Xenopus tropicalis: one gene and its partners. The protein of the gene in region 1 purifies or fractionates together with the protein of each later gene. This does not show direct contact. Links are inferred from orthologs where the notes say so. Each region holds a gene or a part of one and is shown in the gene's direction. Other genes may lie near its edges.

Region 1 (3,753 bases):
TTATTAGACCTAAGTTTAGCCAAGCTTATGCTTATGGAATAGACACACAATGGTTGCGTGAATCATATATTAAAATAGATATTAGTATTATCACTGATGTTTTCACTTGCACTTTAACCTGTTGTATTTGAGTTTGACAGGATACAGGCACCATGTTATTGCTATGTCCACAATGTTTTCATCATTATTTCAATAGGGCCAGTGTTCCCTGCATGTCTACACCATGCCACACCTTATCCACAACAAAAAAAACTATGGGATTATAAACCTTACAATGATGGTACTATGTGATACAACAGTGGGCCCTAATTTACTAATTATTAACTATGGGTTACTGAAGTTGCATTTCTGCAGTTATGTTAATAAAGAAGGAATGCTGGCCTCAAAGTGCAATTGTTTTTCCTCAAAGGAGATTAAATCCTCTTTCCCCCTGCACCACTTATTGCCATATTTGCACCTGCTATAAAAATGTAGAGTTGTTCAGTGTGGTTGACAGACACCATCTTACACCTCTATGGATCATCTTCTGTGAAAACTCTCAAAACTTTGCAAATTGAAATTTGTAATAAATGTTTGTAAATAAATAAATATGACTAAACTTGCATGTAAAGATCAGCTTGTTTGTCAACCAAATGTTGGATTGGAAAACTCCTGGTGGGCCCAGGTGTCAACAGGCCCTCCTGCTTCTAACCATGTCATGGTTAGTCCTTATTTTTGTATAAGAACAATGAGGCTAAATAGATGAAAGAATAGGTCATAGTATGTAAAGGAAAGTGCGCCCAGGGCTGCTTCTGACATGAGGCAAGGTGAGATCGATCGATCGTAAGATCGAGGTCGCCAAGCGAGCGGATCTTCTCCCGATATCCCCCCTATGGGTGGGCAATATCGGCTAATTTAGATCGAATTAAAATGACTGGTATAGGTGTCAGTTGATTCAGGGCCGATTTCAGGCCAGGCCCGTCTTTAGTGCCCATACACGGGTCGATAAGCTGCCAAATCAGTTTAAGGGATTGATATCGGCAGCTAGAATCAGCCCATGTATGGCAGCCTTTACACAGTGACCTAAACACAGGTATGTTGATTTAATATTAGGTATGTGCCATAAAATATCTTAATATGTACAGACACACACTGTGTAATGTTATGGCTGGAATAAAAAAAAATGGAGGCATTTTATTTTAGAAACTTAGTTCTCAAGTTTTTTTTTAATTGTTATGTAAACTTGTATGGATATGCAATATCCTAACTACTCAAATCTTTGTGGGGAAAAGGTGATCTATTGTCTTCCCTACCAAAACCAGCCCTGGAAATAAGCGCCTCTGTGCTACTGCTTCTTCTTGCAAATAAGTTGCTAAACTTTCATCATTCAGGTATTAGCATGAATCTCTAGGTGGTGCTGTGTCCGCTGTTTATGCTACATGTACTTAGTGAGACACACATACTGCTGGGTACATGTAAACACACACAAACTGCACGTGTACGGGGACACAAAGGAGAAATGTTTAATCGGGACCCATTCAAATATACATAGGAATACACAGTTACCTTTCAAGGTAATGAGACACGTGATGTTTCTATTTTACAAATGATTATAGCAGAACAAATGATCTATTTGAAACGCATAAGACTGTTTAGCTTCTACATAACTTCCCCAATCCACGTTCTGGTTACCTCCCTCCTTTGTCTCCAGCCCTATACAACCGCCCCCACCATTTTACTTGGCCCATCAGCCATTGCGCGCGTCCCCTCCCTCCCCTTCCAACCGCAGAGAATTATGGGCTATCATGGTCACAACAGGATCCTGAGTGTGGAGCTTGGATCCGGACTGAGGCTAGAAAACAAGCTGATAATAAGGTCCCCTCCCCCATTCCGGCGCTCCAGACTATCCTTTGTGCCGCTCGCTGACTAAACGGGTTGATAAGCGTGCATGCATGCTGGAAGGGAGGGGGCAACTGGAGAAATATGTCCTACGGTTCACACAGATATATGTAATGCAGAATCACACCGATAAATTACTTTGTGGCGTACAGTTGAGCGTTCCACGCACAAATATAGACGGCCGTTAAGTTTTGGCAGAAGAAATAGGTTATTTTATATACGGCTCAATTACTCAATGTGTGTCCTATGATTTTACCTACAAATAAATTATAATTGCGGTAATATAATTAAAACGTCCATAAATTGTTGTCTTAAAATAACATTAGAATGGAAAATCGCTTTAGTACGAAGAATGCGGCACCCACTTACAGCCATGTTCACATGTATGCTAGTGTGTGCCTATATACATGTGTGCACACATAGAGCACTCGACACACGTGACCAGCACGTTGCTTCGCAGCACAATGAGCTCAGTACCGGACGCACACACCTCATGACGTAGCAACGCTGTGACACGCCTTTTGGCATCACGTGATGCTTAGTGTTCGGCTTCCCGCGCTCCGCTCTGGGTCTTACTGCCTGACCTCTCCTTACGCTGAAGCCTATGGAAGACAAATGAAGAGCCCCGGGTCATTTACCCAGATCCGGGTTTTATTGTCCTCACCGTCCTCTGATTCTTTGTAAGCCTATGGGAGATAAAGGGTCCAATCTCTAAGATCCTGTCCTGGCCCTTGGTTTTCTATGCTTTAACTTAATTGATTCTATATTCCGGGCTTTACCCTACCCATGGAACTGATCTTCCAGTCCATAATTCACTTCGGGTTTTACTATCTTACCCAACCCCTATCCAGCTCCTGATTTTACTTTCTTCGGTGTTCAGCTCTGTGAGAAAAAAATCCAATCTCCTTCTCTCGCAGCCCCCTCTCTGTGTGAATGATTTAACTCCGAGCTTTGCTCCACTTGTCATTATGCCTAGGATCTATCTCTGACCTAGCATATCCTTTTGATCCAGTCCCGGGATTTTGATGCTACTAAATGTGAGTGACAGCCACCCAGCTCCGGGTTGCACTCCAGTCCCCTAGCTTTATCTCCCCTTGTGCCCGGTCAATGTGATCCAGCTCCAGTTCCTGTCTGTATTCCAGTTCCAGGTTTTGCAGCTTGTATCACCGTGTGAGTGATCCAGTACCCAGGCTTTACTTCCCGGTCCATGTGATCCGGCCCAGTCAACGATTTTTTTTTCTGTGCCTCGGCCCAGTGCAGGAAGCAAGTAGCCCGGTTCCTAACTCGTGTTCCAGTGCCCGGGTCTTGCGGCCTGTACCACCTCCAGTCCTGGACTCCAGCTCCGCGCTTTGCGGCCTGTCCCTCCTCCTCCTCCTTTCTCGGTAAAATGGCCTCTCCTCCTACTCTCTACCGCCTCGTGTCCGACTAAGCGGATCCCCCCTCCCCTCCTGCCCGAACCAAGCCCGATACCCCGGGAGGGGAGGCCTCCTCTATCCCCGTCCTTTTCTCTGTCCTCCATGGCCGCCCAGGTGGCCCCGGCCTCCGGCCCTAGTTTGGGGGGGACCCCGCCCGCTGCCGGCCCCGACCTGAAAAAGAGTCCCGGAGATCCCCCTCCTCCCTCGAACGAGTCACAGCAAGAGGCTCCGGTCACTGCTTCAAACGAAACGGACTCAACAGAGGCGGCCAATGGGACACGAACAGTGCCGGCCTCTTCACACCAGGAGCCTGGGGATCCGCCTGCGGCCTCCTCCGCCTCATCGCACCCGCCCGGTGGGTTCGGCTTCTCTCCGTACCCGAGAGGAGTTTTTCAGCCTGGCCCTGGCTTGGACTATACTCCTCCCACGGATGCCTATAACTCGTACCCGGCCTACCCTA
Region 2 (3,753 bases), on another chromosome or scaffold:
AGTACAGGTAAGGGAGGGCAGGCAGAGAGAGTGAGTGCAGGTAAGAGAGGGCAGGTAGAGAGAGTGAGTGCAGGTAAGAGAGGGCAGGTAGAGAGAGTGAGTGCAGGTAAGAGAGGGCAGGTAGAGTTAGTGCAGGTAAGAGAGGGTGGGTACAGGTGAGAGAGGACAGGCAGAGAGAGTGTGGCTAAGAGAGGGTGGGTAAAGGTGAGAGAGGGCAGGCAGAGACAGTAAGAGAGGGCAGGCAGAGAGAATGAGTGTGGCTAAGAGAGGGTGGGTACAGGTGAGAGAGGGCAGGCAGAGACAGTAAGAGAGGGTGGATACAGGTGAGAGAGGGCAGGCAGAGAGAGGGAGTGCGGGTAAGAGAGGGTGGGTACAGGTGAGAGAGGGTGGGTACAAGTAAGAGAGGGCAGGCAGAGACAGTTAGTGCAGGTGAGAGAGGGCAGGCAGAGAGAGGGAGTGCGGGTAAGAGAGGGTGGGTACAGGTAAGAGAGGGCAGGCAGAGAGAGGGAGTGCGGGTAAGAGAGGGTGGATACAGGTGAGAGAGGGCAGGCAGAGACAGTTAGTGCAGGTAAGAGAGGGTGGATACAGGTGAGAGAGGGCAGGCAGAGACAGTTAGTGCAGGTAAGAGAGGGTGGATACAGGTGAGAGAGGGCAGGCAGAGAGAGGGAGTGCAGGTAAGAGAGGGTGGGTACAAGTAAGAGAGGGCAGGCAAGGAGAGTGAGCACGGGTAAGAGGGGGTGGGTACAGGTAGAGGAGGGCTGGCAAAGACGAAAGAGAAAGGGCAGATGACAAGGGGAGGAGGGGAAGAGAAACAGAGGGAGGAGAGACACAGGAGGAGGGGAGGGGAGGGAAGGCAGTGGGAGGGCAGAGATGAGAAAAGGAGGTTTGTTGCAAAACAGCTCTCTGGAAGTGATGACACCAACAGAAAAACCTTCCAATAACTTCCTATGAGCCGCCCGACAGCAGCAGGAAGGGGAAAGTGCTGAGCGCTCGGTTTGCGCCCCGGGAAACTACAGCCGGAGGATCGCAGCGCAGGGATTGCGCATTGAGAGCAGCTGTACGGGCACAATTATACGGAGAGAGGCTGAACCCCGCTGGGTTTCACTGGGGAATCCGGTTAGTAGTGCTGGACTAGCTGTAGGATAGCGGCTTTGTGCTGTACTTAGCGCCGGGCTTACACGCGTGTTACTGCTACGGGCACACAGGGCTACAGTCTGATAGGCATAGTACTGATACTAACACGAACTCTATAAGCTTGTATAACTGAATAGGGCAACACGTAGAGGATAAATATATACACACAATTTATGTATAAAATGTGCGTGTGTGTATATATATATATATATATATATATATATCAATCCAAATGGTGTCCGCACTCCAAGGCTCAATATTCTGCGGGGTGCATAGCCAAAATTATGTATATACAGAAAATAATCATCTGTGGCCAGCACACCCTTCAATGTTTTATCAAAAATTTATTGAAGATATATCGTTAAAATTGTTTAAAAGTCAAAGTGCAAACAAACTAGCCAACACACACTTTGCGGGGCTGCACAAGTAGCCAACACACACAGCCAAGACTGCACAACTAGCCAACACATGCAGTTCAAGGCTGTGCAACTAGCCAACGCACACTTTGCGGGGCTGCGCAACTAGCCAACGCACGCAGTGCGGGGCTGCGCAACTAGCCAATGCACGCAGTGCGGGGCTGCGCAACTAGCCAACGCACGCAGTGCGGGGCTGCGCAACTAGCCAACGCACGCAGTGCGGGGCTGCGCAACTAGCCAACGCACACAGTGCGGGGCTGCGCAACTAGCCAACGCACGCAGTGCAGGGCTGCGCAACTAGCCAACGCACGCAGTGCAGGGCTGCATAATTAGGAATTCTACATTATATGATTCATTAGGAAGGAGGTTGTTCACACAGAGTATATCCCTCTTGTATATACACAGCATTCCTTCACCTGTGCACAGTAGTGCTGTCTGCTGTTTAACACTCCATGACCTCTCGGGGAGGATTACCTCTACCATCTGGGAGCCCAATGAACATGATGCGGGGACCAAACCCTGGAGCATACAGACCCCCAATGGGGCCTTACCAGGTAACCATTTCCAATAGCAATGTATTGTGCATTTCCATCTTCCCTGTGCTAGATCACTTCATTTAGAATTTAGAACATTGTTTATCCAGTTTTAATTGGGCAGAGTCAGTAGGTCCAAGTTGCTGGGTCTGTTAATAGTGCCTGACTATCACATGCCCGTTTGTAGCATGTGACTAGCAGAATCCAATGGCATGAAAATGATTTACGCCTGAAGCATGATTGTGTTTTATATGCCATAGCTGCATCCAAAGTCAGGCACTAGTGCACAGAACGCTTGCATCTATAGAATTGCACATTGACTGTGCTACTGGCAAGCTGCTACTTCTGGTTTCCAAATCAGACTAAATGCGACTAAATGTTGAGCTGACTGATTTGTGACTTGTGTAGCACACCAGGCCCTTGATCTAATATTTCTAGAGCATTTTTCGGATGCAATTGTGATCTGAAGCAGTCATGTTCAGTTACAGCTCAGGTGACCTATTGAATTGCATCGCAGTTGTACAATCCAAAGGTAAAGTCGTTGGTGTAAATAAAGACTGTGGATGTTTCACTTTCATCCAGTATCTTTCTAAATTCTTTGTGTAATTGTGAAAAATGAGACATAACATCTTCATGTGACAATCAGTGCACATCATTATGGTCCCAGGTAGGCAGGAGGAGAGTATAGATAAGGCCTTGATGGTTGCTAAGCAGGGCCTAGATAATCTAGGATGGCTTGTGTAACCATTCCAAGAATAATATAATAATAGTAATCCTACATTTTATACAATGGTGCATATCATGGTAAACAACTGATCAGTTGATTTAAATCTACTTCACTTTATAATTGTCTTTTCACTGCATGTCACTGTGGTGTGTTCTGGTATCGTTCACTCCTTTTTAATTTTTCATTTTCATACATATTGGTATAGTTCACCAGCAAATGGCATGGTCCGAGTTTGCTGTTGATCAGTGTGGTACAGTTTGGTATAGTTCATCACTGGTTGTTTGGAGTATGGTTGAACTGGTATCATTCACTGCCTTTCAGTGTTGTGCATGCTGGTATAGATCACTTTAGGATGGTCTATTCTGGTAGAGTTCACTGCCTAGGAATGTGGTATGTTCAGGTCTAGTTCAACACCAGTCAGTGTGGTACAACACAGTTAAGTTCACTCTCTGTCAGTGAGGTACATGCAAGTATAGTTCATCACTGGCACCTGATACCATTGGTAGATGTGGTGCATTCTTGTACAGTTCACCATTGGTAGATGTGGTGCATTCTAGTATAGTTCACCATTGGTAGTGTGGTGCATTCTAGTATAGTTCACCATTGGTAGTGTGGTGCATTCTAGTATAGTTCACCATTGGTAGTGTGGTGCATTCTAGTATAGTTCACCATTGGTAGTGTGGGGCATTCTAGAACATGTCCGCACTTCCAAATGTGGTGCATTCTAGAACAGGTCAGCACTGGCAGATGTGGGGCATTCTAGAACATGTCCGCACTTCCAAATGTGGTGCATTCTAGAACAGGTCAGCACTGGCAGATGTGAGGCATTCTAGAACATGTCAGCACTTCCAAATGTGGTGCACTCTAGAACAGTTCACAATTGGTAGATGCGGTGCATTGTAGTACAGGTCACCACTGGCAGATGTGGGGCATTCTACTGACC
Region 3 (3,653 bases), on another chromosome or scaffold:
TACCCATGCCATTTCCCACAGTGGGTTCTGTAAGCCTGTGCTCATCTGCCATCACACAGCTGTATTGTTTTTTTTCTCTCTCTTGGCACATTGGCTTCTCATCAGGCAGATAATTTAGAATAATATAGAATATAAATGTAACCGTATAATGCTGATTAGTAATTCAGATTCTCATTATATGGCAGCTCTGGGACCAGTGCAGTTTGCATCAGAATTTTATAATTAGACCTGTAGCATCAGTTTGACAGGCCAGCCTCATTTTCAGTTTGATCATTTGCGACAACCCCTAAGCTTAGCTTTTCAGTAGCTGCCAAGAAAACACTGATCGTGTGCACTGTCCAGGACAGTTCTAACAGAATCCAAGATGGGAAGCTCCTGTGGCAACTGTAAAGACCTATATACTACTATACTACTATATACTACTGTAGAGATACTAAAACTTGAAGCTAGTACAGTCAGTTTAGTAAAAAAAAAAAAAAAGTATAAAATAGCCATATTCATCTTTAGGGTTTAGTTCTCCTTTAAGGGTGTTGGGAATGGAGGTTATGTTCCATGAAGATGCTCCTCTAAAGCTGGCCATAAACATACTGATAAGCTTTTCATCCTATCTTCAGTTCAAATATGTTTGTCAAATACTTCTGGCTGATATCCTTTATCAGTTTTTATAGGTTGGTTTGTCAAAGGGAAGGTAAAGCCATAGCCAGTGGCATAACTAGAGATATATGGGTTTTGCTGGATTTAATCTCAGGACCCCCACCCACCCCCAACTGGCCACGGCTCCTACTGTTTTTGATTTCTGTCATTTGAGATGGTAGAAAGGTGGATGCACTTTTTATGGATACAATACAATATCCGTCCTTTGGCCCACAGGCTCAGTGGTCATTACCAGCAAATATTAGTATATGGCCACCTTAAGAATTCCGTATAATTTCTGTTCTAAAGGGACTTAAGGCATCATTAAAATAGGTAGCAGAAACAAACCTATCAAGAAATGGACCCATAGGGTCACACAAACATATATTTCAGGGTACTGTTTCATCCATATATGTAAATCGGGGTCTTACTCCGGATCTGGGACAACCTTTTACCTTAAATTGGTAAGGTATGTGCCCAGGTCAGGATGTTGTGCAACAAGCAGGCTCAAAGTTCTGGGGCAATGTAACATGCCTGACTGATTAGTCTCTGTCTGTCTGTGTGCTCTTCCTTACTCCTTGTGTAACACATGTTTCTGTTGCCAGATCAGAAGTGCAGAGGTATTTATCTGCTTCGTAATTCAATAACATTGTTTGCTTTTTTTCTCACTTTAAAAGCAGGCTACCCCAAAGCAGAAGTTTAAGGTTTTTATAGTTATGCTGGTAAAAGTCTGGCCTGGAGGCAAACTGCTTCTAAATATTCAGCCACAGGAATTTAAAATACCTAAACCAAAAGCTGTAGCATGAAGACTGAAGTCCAGGGAGGTTTACTTGGAGGTGCACTTTTAGATTTTGAATACCAACCACACAGACATTCCAGTGCCATCCTAGCTGGCATCTTTAAAATATCATCTCAAAAACTGAAAATCATTTTTGATCTTTGATCTGCCTGTTGGACCTGTACCTCCAATAAAAGAATAACTTTATTTTTTTTTTTACATCTGGCAGTATTGTGTTGGTACTCCTGTGTGGTACATGATGTTTTCTACTTTCACCTTATAAAGCATATTGAGTTATGTAGGTGTCTTTTAGCTTATGGCACAAAAAAGTGGTTGATATTGCAAAATTATTGCTGAATTACTAAATACATTCTAAGTTCTTTGTGAAAACATGACCTTTTTTTACTGTAACAGTAACATCTGTCCCCAATGTAAAACACCTGCAAACTATCCTTTCCTGCCACCCAGTTTCCCTTGTGGCTTTGCTTTGTTATACATCCTCCTGTTTTGGTGGGGTAGTGATTTTTCACCTGACTCTTTTTAATGTTTATCATTGCACTAATGCTTTATTACTTCTTTCTACTCTTCATTTTCTGCTGTCCTGCTTTTTCCCCCCAGTCTGTGGAAAACGCTATAAAAACAGGCCTGGTTTGAGCTATCATTATGCCCACTCACACCTTGTGGATGAAGAAGGTGCCGGGGCAGAAGATAAGGAGGATTCTCAGCCTCCCACTCCTATCATGCAGAGACCAGAGGAACAAAAATGTAAGTTTAGGCATCTACACAGAATGCAGAGGAAATGTTTGGGCAACTTCAGAAAACGAAGCACCATGTATGCTTTCCAACCGGCAATTCACTTTACTGTTAGTGGGAAAGCATTTTGGGGAGATTAGTCGCCCATGGTAGCGTAGATTAGGGCACCATTGTTTTAGGTGTTGCTTTCAAAAGCGATTACAAATTCATTAATTACAAATAATTCAATAGCAATTACAAATACATTTCATATCATTAAAAGTATATATCAAAAATTGCTTAGGATTGCATTACTTAGGTTATTCAAAATAGTTTTTTTAAGTTTGTTCCTTCTTGTTCTCCTTTTTCAACATATTTGATGCTTTTATCTTTTCCCAGCCAAAAAGGGCCCAGATGGTCTTGCACTGCCAAACAATTATTGTGACTTCTGCCTTGGAGACTCTAAGATTAACAAGAAAACAAACCAGGCTGAGGAGCTTGTGTCCTGCTCAGACTGCGGCCGCTCTGGTATGTTAAAAGAAGACTCTAGTATTTGATGAAGACTTAATACTACATGATGCATCTGATTTTATTTTTAACTGGAAAGCTTTTGCATTTAAAAGTTGAAGGCCCAAATGGGCTGTCCTAACACTCATAGGAATTCCGAACTATAATGTTTTTCAGGAATTCTCAATTTAAATATTCTAAAATGGGATATTGTGATGCATATATATGTTTAGAAGCTATATAAATGTGCATTCTGCTAATAATTTAGAGCAGTTCTTGGCTAACTGCGGGCCTCATCCACTTAGAGGGGCATGGGGGATCGGGGAAGTTGGGCAATTTCTGAGTAGCAAGCCAATTAGGGTGAGAGCTTTTTTTTGCACTTTAGATACTCCTGAAATCCCCATTGAAGGGTTAAGTGAGGAGTGAAGACTTACTTGCAGCCCTAGATATTCTTAAAACTGAAAAACGGGTTCATTTGAAACCTTGCTATAAGCTAAGTGGGTTGTGGACCTCAAAATGAATGTTGGGGATGAACTTTTAAACCACTTTGCCGGCCAGTTAACAGTGGTAGCAAAAAGCCAAATTTACAATTTTTTATTTTTCTTCTAGTGCAGAGAGTGCAATAGCACTTTTCTGCACTAGTGATGTGGCACCACCTTTACCTTCTCCGACACTAAAGATTAAGCGCTGTGCGGGGGGACAGGATTGGGGCACCATCATTTGTTTTGCTTTTTTTTTTTTTTTTTTTTTTTTTGTACATCCATAGAACAAATGTATACAGCAACATTGTACAGCAAATTAACTCCCTTCAACATTTGGCAGCTTGCCTTCTAAAGTTCCCCTATGATTTGAGTTATTGATCCTCAGGTCAGAAATATCAGATTAGCTTGCTGAGATTTACAGCCGGTTGCTATGCACATGTTGCAGAGGTCAGCAGAAATATGGTATTTTTTAGTTTTTGGATGAACGCAGATATTGGATACATATGTATGCAAAATATTCA

Evidence for each region.
Region 2: the proteins of arid1a (region 1) and smarcd2 purify together in Homo sapiens (affinity purification with mass spectrometry; 7 studies listed by BioGRID and IntAct, with this or other methods). This does not show direct contact. The link is inferred for Xenopus tropicalis from reciprocal best matches to the Homo sapiens genes ARID1A and SMARCD2.
Region 3: the proteins of arid1a (region 1) and dpf2 purify together in Homo sapiens (affinity purification with mass spectrometry; 6 studies listed by BioGRID and IntAct, counting the BioPlex papers as one, with this or other methods). This does not show direct contact. The link is inferred for Xenopus tropicalis from reciprocal best matches to the Homo sapiens genes ARID1A and DPF2.

The regions. Positions count from the first base shown.
Region 1 is NC_030678.2:77,694,194-77,697,946, forward strand, and holds the start of arid1a (AT-rich interactive domain-containing protein 1A), read left to right. Parts: upstream 1-1,485; 5' UTR 1,486-3,395; coding exon 3,396-3,753. UniProt on the Homo sapiens protein: Involved in transcriptional activation and repression of select genes by chromatin remodeling (alteration of DNA-nucleosome topology).
Region 2 is NC_030686.2:15,740,044-15,743,796, reverse strand, and holds the start of smarcd2 (SWI/SNF-related matrix-associated actin-dependent regulator of chromatin subfamily D member 2), read left to right. Parts: upstream 1-1,084; 5' UTR 1,085-1,116; intron 1,117-1,955; 5' UTR 1,956-2,002; coding exon 2,003-2,104; intron 2,105-3,753. UniProt on the Homo sapiens protein: Involved in transcriptional activation and repression of select genes by chromatin remodeling (alteration of DNA-nucleosome topology).
Region 3 is NC_030680.2:32,327,820-32,331,472, reverse strand, and holds part of dpf2 (zinc finger protein ubi-d4), read left to right. Parts: intron 1-2,029; coding exon 2,030-2,176; intron 2,177-2,542; coding exon 2,543-2,671; intron 2,672-3,653. UniProt on the Homo sapiens protein: Plays an active role in transcriptional regulation by binding modified histones H3 and H4. Is a negative regulator of myeloid differentiation of hematopoietic progenitor cells. Might also have a role in the development and maturation of lymphoid cells.